Cricetulus griseus: one gene and its partner. The protein of the gene in region 2 purifies or fractionates together with the protein of the main gene of each other region. This does not show direct contact. Links are inferred from orthologs where the notes say so. Each region holds a gene or a part of one and is shown on either strand. Other genes may lie near its edges.

Region 1 (4,822 bases), about 36 Mb from region 2:
GGCAATGGATGCAAAACAAATTACCCTAACTTCCTTGCTCAAATACATAAGCCATTCATATTGTTCATGTACTTTCCAGTTTGGATAAGATCCATGAGGAGAGCTTGTGTCTACCTGCATCCTCTCACCAGCTGTGGCAATTCCCAGGTTGTAACTGATGACAAGAAGTTGAGTCTGTTGGAAGATCTTTCTTAAGGCAATGCTGATGGTTAACAGGGACCTCATCTAAAGCTGACAGAATTACATAATACTTGTATGAGTATTCTCTAACTGCTCTAACAAACCACCACAAAACAATGGAAATGTACCATTACAACTCTGAAGGCCTTGAATCTAAAATCACCAGGGCTGCACTTCCTATAAAAACACTAGTGGAGGCTCCTTCCTGCTTCCACCAGCTCCTAGATAGAGCCTTTCAGAATTCCTTGGCTTGGAGCTGTATCCCATCTTTGGCTCCGTATTCATAGAGCTTATATTCATAGGGCCTTGCACATAGTAGGCAATGCTCTACCTCTGAGCCCCAGCCCCAAAGGCTTCTTCATTTTGCTGCTAACTCCCTCATTATACAGGGCTGTATACATTATACAGGGATCCAGGAATATCTTAAAACAAGACAGGCATGGAAACATTATGATTTGGCCAACAATGTCTCTGTGAGTTGAACCAATCTCAAAAGCCAACCACTGTTCCCTTTGGATTGGTGTGGGCCCACAGCAAAAAGCTCGGTGATAGCCCCAGGATGCCTTAGGAGAGCTGCATACTTAGTTTCACTATTTTAAGTCGGTCAAATCTGAGGGATTCTCTGGGTGTTGGTGGCACACTCTTTAATCCCAGCACTTGGGAGGCAGAGGCAGGCAGATCTCTGTGAGTTCGAGGCCAGCCTGGTCTCCAGAGTGAGTGCCAGAATAGGCTCCAAAGCTACACAGAGAAACCCTGTCTCGAAAAAAAAAAAAAAATCAGAGGGATTCTACAAGAAGGCAAATACCTTTCCCATGCTGGGTTCTATTTCATCAAACTTAGCCTAGGTCTAGTGACCTGGAGACATGAGAGGTACAGCCTGTCCAGGAAGGGACCTAACAGAAGATACCGCTTGCATGAAGCTTAGGTCTCAGGATTAAGGGGAAGGTGCCTTAGGTTCAGAATGAAGCACATGAAACCACAAGACAGGGGACAGTTCCCCTGAATTCACAACCCAGGTCAGTTTTGAATGACTGCAGGTCACGCACTTAAGGAAACACCTTGTCCAGGAGGGTGAGCACCTTCATCCTACCTCAGATACCCACTAACCGACTTTTCTTACGGACTGGGAAACAAAGCCTGCAGAGTCAGACTCTGACGCCACCCATTTTGTTTTGTTATTATTTATGGTGTATGAGCGTTTTGCCTGCATGTATGTGCATCAAATGTGTGCCAGATTCAGAGGCCAGAAGTGGGTGTTGGGAACTAGAGTTACAGACGGTTGTGAACTGCCATGTAAGTTGCTCTTACCCACAGAGCAATCCTTCACCCCACCCGTTTTAAATTGCATTTAAAGAAATATATATTTGAGCTCCTTTGGTCCACGATCTGCCAGCCAAGTCAGCTCCGCCTCGCGGGTATTTGACTATTCTTCGGGTTGGCTTAAGAAGCCAGAGTTCAGCCTGATCTTCAACCCGATGAGGCTTTACTAGGTATATCTCAGTGACCTGTATTATACACCCACTGTGCACTTCCACTCCCTGGCTCGGAACCAGGCGATTAACGACCACAGACCAGTTGAAGGACTAGGAACTTGGAGACTGGCGAATTTCAGAGAACCTCAAAAGGTGAGCCGCCAAGGCAGGCCACGCCCACACCGCCACCCTCCCACTTAGCCGAAAGGGTGGCACCCGATTCCAGCCTCGCCCCCCGACGTCACGACCAAGGCCAAGGGGCGGGCTTGACTCTCTGCGGAAGCGAGAGGCTAGACCCAGGCCCAAGCAGAGCTCTCTGGGACCGCTGGGGACTAGCAGGTAGCACCGCCGCCCGCGGGGTCTACAGTATGGTCGGTTAGTGGGAAAGGGGCTCTGGTTGCAAGAGGCTCAGCTGGCGGGAGCGGGTATCCACTGGAGGAGGGTGCTGTTGATACAAGGGCGCTCAGCAAGTCGGGCTGAAGGTCTCCTGGGGAGGGGAAGCTAAAGATACCCTGGTCACCCAACTGTCGGCGTCCACATCTCCTGGATGAAGGGGACAATAGGTTCTGAGATTCGCTAAGCCGCCAAGGTTTGTTTCCAGGTTGGAGGGGGCCCTGGGGTTGCTGGGTGCGGGCTCGGGAGTCGCACAGCTGAGGCGACATGGTCTCTAGTTTGACACCTCGTCCCGCGCTCGGTCAGGATGGGCAGCAGCTCGCTGTCAGAGGACTATCGCCAGTGCCTGGAGCGCGAGCTGCGGCGGGGCCGCGCGGGCGTCTGCGGCGACCCCTCGCTGCGCGCGGTGCTTTGGCAAATTCTGGTGGAGGACTTTGACCTGCACGGGGCGCTACAGGACGACGCGCTGGCGCTGTTCACTGACGGCCTGTGGGGCCGTGCGGACCTGGGGCCTGCCCTACGCGATCTGGCCCGCGCATTCGAACTCCTGGAGCTGGCCGCTGTGCACCTGTACCTGCTGCCCTGGAGAAAGGAATTCACCACCATCAAGGTATCATTTGGCGATGTTCCTCCACTTCCTTCCTTTGTCCGGGCTGTTGGGGGCTGCCAGTCCTCTCCAGGGAAGAGTTCCATGCTGAGGGGCCGTGGGCGTGTTGGGATGCTTGCCTACCAGGGAGTCAATTCACCTAAAACTTACATTGCTGTCCTCAAAGTAGTCTCACTGCCCTAGTTGCTATGGAAATTCTAGGATAGACGTGGGTGGGAAGGTGAGGGAGGTACTTGATGTCCTGTGGTCATCCTAACTCCAAGATGTGGACTGATCCTATCTGTAAGAGGAGGCCACTAAGATTAAGAAGAGAACAGCCGGCCGGGGACTGGGGAGTATGGACCTTGGTCCTGCCTGGGTCCAGGTTAGGCGGCCAGGTCCAGGAATGGCCTGGTCCTTTGGTCAGCTGATGGACCACCAAGGGGGGGGGGCAGGGCCGCTCTGAGCTAATTTTGAGTGGGAAGGCAATGACGTTAGTGAGCACGTGGGCGAGGTAAACCTCCACTGGTTGCCATAGCAGCTGCTCCCCCTCCACACCCTTTTCTCTCCCTGCCCCACCAGCTTGCTGCTCCCCTGAAGCAACTGAGATCTTGGAATTTTCATTCATTCTTTCAGGCTAGAGGCCAGCCTACCCGCCCAGAGGACAAAGACTGTTAAGGTTGGCCTTGAAATAGGCTGGTCCTGGGAGTGTTGGGAAGGAGCTGGTGCAGGTAGTCTCCTAGTTGTGGGGTTTTAGCTAAGTTACCTCTACACCCTCTATGCCCCTTTCTCCTAAGAGAATAGTCAAGGTACAAAGACCTAAGAAGGGTGTTGTGACCAGAGCTCCTCATGTACCCACGACCCCTTCTTAAAGGGTCTATGCAGGGAAGTACTCTAAGGATGCCTGGAGTGGTAGACTTCCACATTTGGAAAAGATCCATAATTACCTTGGTTCCCTATGTAGCTTTGATCTAGAAAGCACATCCCCATCTGTTAGTGTGGTCCTCTCACCAGCTGCACATCAGACACAGCAAGGGACAGTGAGAGCAAAATGCCTGGTCCGATAGTGACAGATCACCAGGATTAATGGAGGGAGGGGTGCACAACAGAAAGGACAGAGTATTCCTATAGGCCGAGGCAGGAGGATGTTGAGTTTAGGGTCAAGCTGTTTCAAAATAAAAGAGGGTGGTACCCACACCTTTAATCCCAACACTTGGGAGGCAGAGAAGTAGGTGGCTCTCTGAATTCCAGGACAGCCAGGGCTACACAGAGAAACCCTATCTTGATAAATCATGGTGGGGGGTGGGCATAAAAGGCTAGGGATATGGCTCAGTGGCTCAGTACTTGCTTAGTATACACAAGGCTTCTCCCTTAGAGAGAAAAAAGATCCAAGCTCACTCCAGCAGATAAAAACAGTCTCTGGGGGTGAACACAAACTTCAGAAGTGAACCAAGGTCAAGGCTGCACTGAGTCCACACAGGTTACATCCAAGAAGCTCTATGGAAGAGCATTCCTGACCAGGACCCTTCCTTGCAGACCTTCTCAGGGGGCTATGTGCATGTGCTGAAGGGCGTACTCTCTGAGGAGCTCCTGACTCGAAGCTTCCAGAAGATGGGCTACGTGCGCAGGGACAACCACCGCCTAATGGTGACCACCCCACCCCCTGCTTGCCAGCTGGTTCAGGTGGCCCTAGGCTGCTTTGCTCTTCGGCTGGAGTGTGAGATCCTAAGTGAGGTGCTAACTCAGCTGGGCACAAGTGTGTTACCAGCTGAGGAGCTGCTCCGAGCACGACGGGCTAGCGGGGATGTTGCCTCCTGTGTGGCTTGGCTGCAGCAGCGGCTGGCCCAGGATGAAGAGCCACCACCACTACCTCCCCGGGGCACACCTGCTGCTTATGGGGCCCCAGTGGACCTCTATCAGGACCTGCAGGAGGATGAGAGCTCAGAAGCCAGTCTGTATGGTGAGCCCTCCCCAGGGCTGGACTCACCCCCTGTAGACCTGGCATATAGGCCACCACTCTGGGAACAGAGTGCCAAACTATGGGGTTCTGGGGGCCAGCCCTGGGAACCCCAAGCTGATGATCTGCACCGGGCCAGCAGCCCACCATATGGGGCTCTGGAAGAGGAACTGGAGCCAGAACCCTCTGCTTTCTCCTTCCTCTCTCTACGCCGTGAGCTGAGTCGTTCAGGAG
Region 2 (4,092 bases):
TTGTTTGGAAACACAGGAATCCTTTGCTGAAGGGCCATCACCACAAAAGACACCCATTGCCGGCAATGGGCGCCAGACAGAACCACCAGCTGGAGGAAAACACAGCGCTAAGCTTTGTGCTCGGTCTCTGCCCATTTCAGATGACCTGGTTACTTGTACAAGCTCATGGTTGGACTCTGGTACATGCACATGTATGCATCGCAAAGAAGTCTACGTGCACAGCCTTGAATCCGTCTGGAATCCAAAGAGTGCAGGTCCTCCAGAGACATCTTCAAGTACTCTCCCACTTCCGGGCAGGGTGTCACTTGTGGAATGTTGAAACCATTCTGACCACCTACGGAGAGAGGAGAACTCTCTTTGTGAGCAGCAAACTTCTAAGTCCTCTTGGCACCCTGTCCCACAAGAACAATTTTATTATCCTAGAATTTAGTGAAGACTGATTCCCAGAACTGAGGGGGGCAGGGGCTTTGTTTGACTTTCTGTCTCTAGAATTACAATGTCCTTTTTTGGTTTCTGAGAGGGTTCAGCAGACAAAAGAGAATAAAATTGGTAAAAGGACAAGTATTTAGGAAAAGATGCAGCCCTTATTTGCAGGCTGCTACCCATGTGTACACACAAAACCTCAGCCCTTCATACTTTTATGTCCATCTCAGATATTAGCAGCCTGACACTTTTCCACAAGACTATCCAATTTTGAGCAAATCTAGTAATTACAGACTACTGTTTCCCTGAGTTTTAAGGACATACTTGCACACCTCTAGCACTGTTGGTTTACATACTGATCATCAGAATATGCATGATCATCTGATAATGGATTTGCTTTCCCAAGTGCTTTCCTAAATGGTATGCTGCTAATGCTAAATGGATGAAGCACATGCACAGGAGGGGTAGGCTGTAACCTCAGGCATCTGAGAGCTGAGGAGAGATAGAGAGCTGTTGGTCAAGAAGCTGCCAGTAGAGATGGCCCAGAGGATAAGAGCACTGCCTGCTCTTCCAGAGGTCCTGAGTTCAATTCCCAGCAACCACATGGTGGCTCACAGCCATCTATAATGAGATTTGTGCCCTCTCTGACCTGCAGTCCTACATGTAGGCAGAACACTGTATACATAATAAATAAATAAATCTTAAAAAAAAAGAAGAAGCTGCCACTAGGTGTCTCTGGTTATTGGAGAACCACATCAGAAGCCCTGGGGGACTAGGGCTTGGGAAAATAACTGTAGATAAAAGGTGGTATGTGGGGTACTGTGGCAAGTACCTTACTACCAAAACCCCTTGAGATTCTGACACTCAAGTGTATACTAAGTAATAACTAAGCTTCCTAAAAATAGCTCACTGAGTAAAGGTTTCTTCCTGAAATGGAATACATGAGATCAGGAAGATGGAGTTAAATACAAACTATGCAACCTTCACATCTTAAACTTTAGCTTTAAACATCAAAAAAAACAGGCATGATTTCCATGACCAAAGTATCCCACAGAGCTTAGCATTTACATCCTCAATAAAATGGCTACTATACTGTATATAAAAAGGAAAGGAAGTAGATGGTAAAATCAGCTCTAAAAGAAGAATTTTAGGAGTCTATGTTTTGTTGTGTTTTTTCTTTTGAGGTGGAGCAAACAGAAACAGGTTCTCATTATGTAACACAAATTGACCTCTAATTCACAATCCTCTACCTACCAAGTCTGAGATTATGGACAAGACTCTTTAACAAGTCTGTATAAGGGCCAAGATGTCACAACATTATTGTTACTTAGTCTGAGTACAGATTTATTAATACTCTTTGAAAATTAAAGTCTGTAACACTATGATATCCTTCAAAGAATTCTCTCAAAAAATACTCTACTACTCTAAACAAGTGCTCTCGATAGCTCACTAGGAAGCATCTCACCCTAAAAGAAAAGTTTTAAATACCATCTCGATCAGCCATGCTGTCAAAGAAGAGCCAGGCAGAGTCATCCTTCCCATACTTCACAAAAGCAACATAGTGGCTCGTTTCTATGCAGAGAACAGCAAATAACTCCATCTTCTGACAGGGGATGCAGCCATGTCTCCAGTCCCAGTCAGGCAAGTCTTTGGGAAGTGATACTGGATGATATGTATGATTCAACCTCCTGGGATGGAGGTGAACCTAAAATGGACCATTAAGAAAATGCCACACATGAGCTAATGCTGTATTTCAAGGGGATAGACTCTAATCACTTTCACTGACCACATCTCTTACAAACACAATCAAGTACTACACACACACACACACACACACACACACACACACACACACACCAGCAGATGAGACATGAGCAATAATAATTATTGTGAATGTTTAAAGTACACTTAGATTCTGAAAGGCTTTCAAACCCTGCAATGTACTGGACCATCAGCAGCTGACTGCTGCAGAGCACATGCACCAGTGAGTGAGGGTTACCTGAGTGCTGCAGGTCTTACAGAACTGCTTTATCTTCCCTGCTGAGATGTCGGGGTCATCATAGCACTCTCTACACTCATACATTGCAAGTCCTCCACAGATGCGGCATTGCCTGGGAGCTACCGGATGCAGAGAGGGAAGGAAGAAGCCTTTTTAGAAGATATTCTGTTATTAAAAATAAAAGCTATCCTTTGAAAACAAGAATGCTGGGGGGAGTCTAGCCCTCTCTAACCCTCTTAAAATTTCACTTGGATTTTCTTGTATTTGTAATATTTTTCAGGACTTTTTTCCCCCCAAATAACCTATTCTAGAATTGTTCCTCTGGTCATGAAATGTCCAAAGATATAATATATATATATATATATATATATAATATATATATATATATATATATATATATATATGAGAAAACCAATAGCACATATGGTCTTAAGTCAGTGACAATCTCTACCATTATGAACTTTCTCTAACAGTTTTATGTCCTAGTATTTATATAACTGTGTGTACCCAAGTACACGTGTATCTCAAGCACCTCTCATCCAGCCTCTTAATGCTTTCCCTTCCACTAACTACCACACACCACTGTTTTCATATGTGTTGCCCTCAAACCCCTGGGTCTTAATGATAGTAGGTCCATTGTTTGGATATATAATCCAATTAACCACTTCCCTCTTATTAACATTTATTGTCTCTAATTTCTTGTCAGATAATTAGTGATTTTGTATTTAAAATATTTATTTTTACTTTTACTTTTTTCAGAATAAATTCTCAGCACTCAAATTATTGGCTTAATATGCCCAAGCTCTTCCGATACTGAATTACTTGTCAGAAGTACTGTATCTATAACTAATGAAAAGTCCAGGCCAACTATTTCTAAAAACCAGAATAAAACAAAGGGCTGTATACTTACTGTCTTCAAGCAAATCTGTTATATTTAATTCCAGGGAAGGAAAAATTTTTTTAAATAGCTTAAAGTCTTTTCCAAACCGAGGCATCTGGATAATCAAGCATGATGGTGCCTTAAAAAAAAAAAAAAGATACATAGTTTTAGAAATCAAAGTCCTAAGGAACTGGGGACTCAGCTCAATATAGTGCTTACGCAGAATGTCTAACACCTTAAGTCCTATTCCCTTTACTAATAGAGGAAACGTGTAAAAAAGTTTCCCTATGAAACTGAAATAGTCATGGCTGTCAAACCAAGCAGTGATTTCACCAGTGTTGTTGGCCCATGAAACGGAGCCCACTTGTGAATGTGCAATGCGGATGCAGTGCAGCACTTCCAGACTTTCCTGTTGGACATAATCATAGATAATGCTACCTAAACATCAGCAAAGAAGGCAGTAAAATACCACCTCAGAGATGAACATAATAAAAACAGACCACAGCATGCATTACTATAAATCATCCACTCAGAATCAAAGAAACTGTTCTACTGCATTTATTAGCAAACCCATGCAGAACTTACTGGCATCTTATCTCTTAACATTACCTTTGACACATTTAGATAATATGCATGGGTAAAATGACAACTAAAAACATAAATATGTAATGTGTATATGCATATCTTTGGCATTAGACTACTTTAAAGTTAAAAGTTAGCTTTTCTTTCTTTCCAAATACAAAACATTCCAACTTAAGCTATGGGGCTTTCTTTTAAAAGAATGAAGTTA

The links.
Region 1: the proteins of Cyld (region 2) and Spata2l purify together in Homo sapiens (affinity purification with mass spectrometry; 3 studies listed by BioGRID and IntAct, with this or other methods). This does not show direct contact. The link is inferred for Cricetulus griseus from reciprocal best matches to the Homo sapiens genes CYLD and SPATA2L.

What each region holds. Positions count from the first base shown.
Region 1 is NC_048596.1:199,898,593-199,903,414, reverse strand, and holds the start of Spata2l (spermatogenesis-associated protein 2-like protein), read left to right. Parts: upstream 1-1,902; 5' UTR 1,903-1,991; exon of another isoform or gene 1,992-2,241; intron 2,242-2,351; 5' UTR 2,352-2,352; coding exon 2,353-2,655; intron 2,656-4,167; coding exon 4,168-4,822.
Region 2 is NC_048596.1:164,369,671-164,373,762, reverse strand, and holds part of Cyld (ubiquitin carboxyl-terminal hydrolase CYLD), read right to left. Parts: intron 3,442-4,092; coding exon 3,333-3,441; intron 2,542-3,332; coding exon 2,423-2,541; intron 2,129-2,422; coding exon 1,912-2,128; intron 335-1,911; coding exon 150-334; 3' UTR 1-149. UniProt on the Homo sapiens protein: Deubiquitinase that specifically cleaves 'Lys-63'- and linear 'Met-1'-linked polyubiquitin chains and is involved in NF-kappa-B activation and TNF-alpha-induced necroptosis.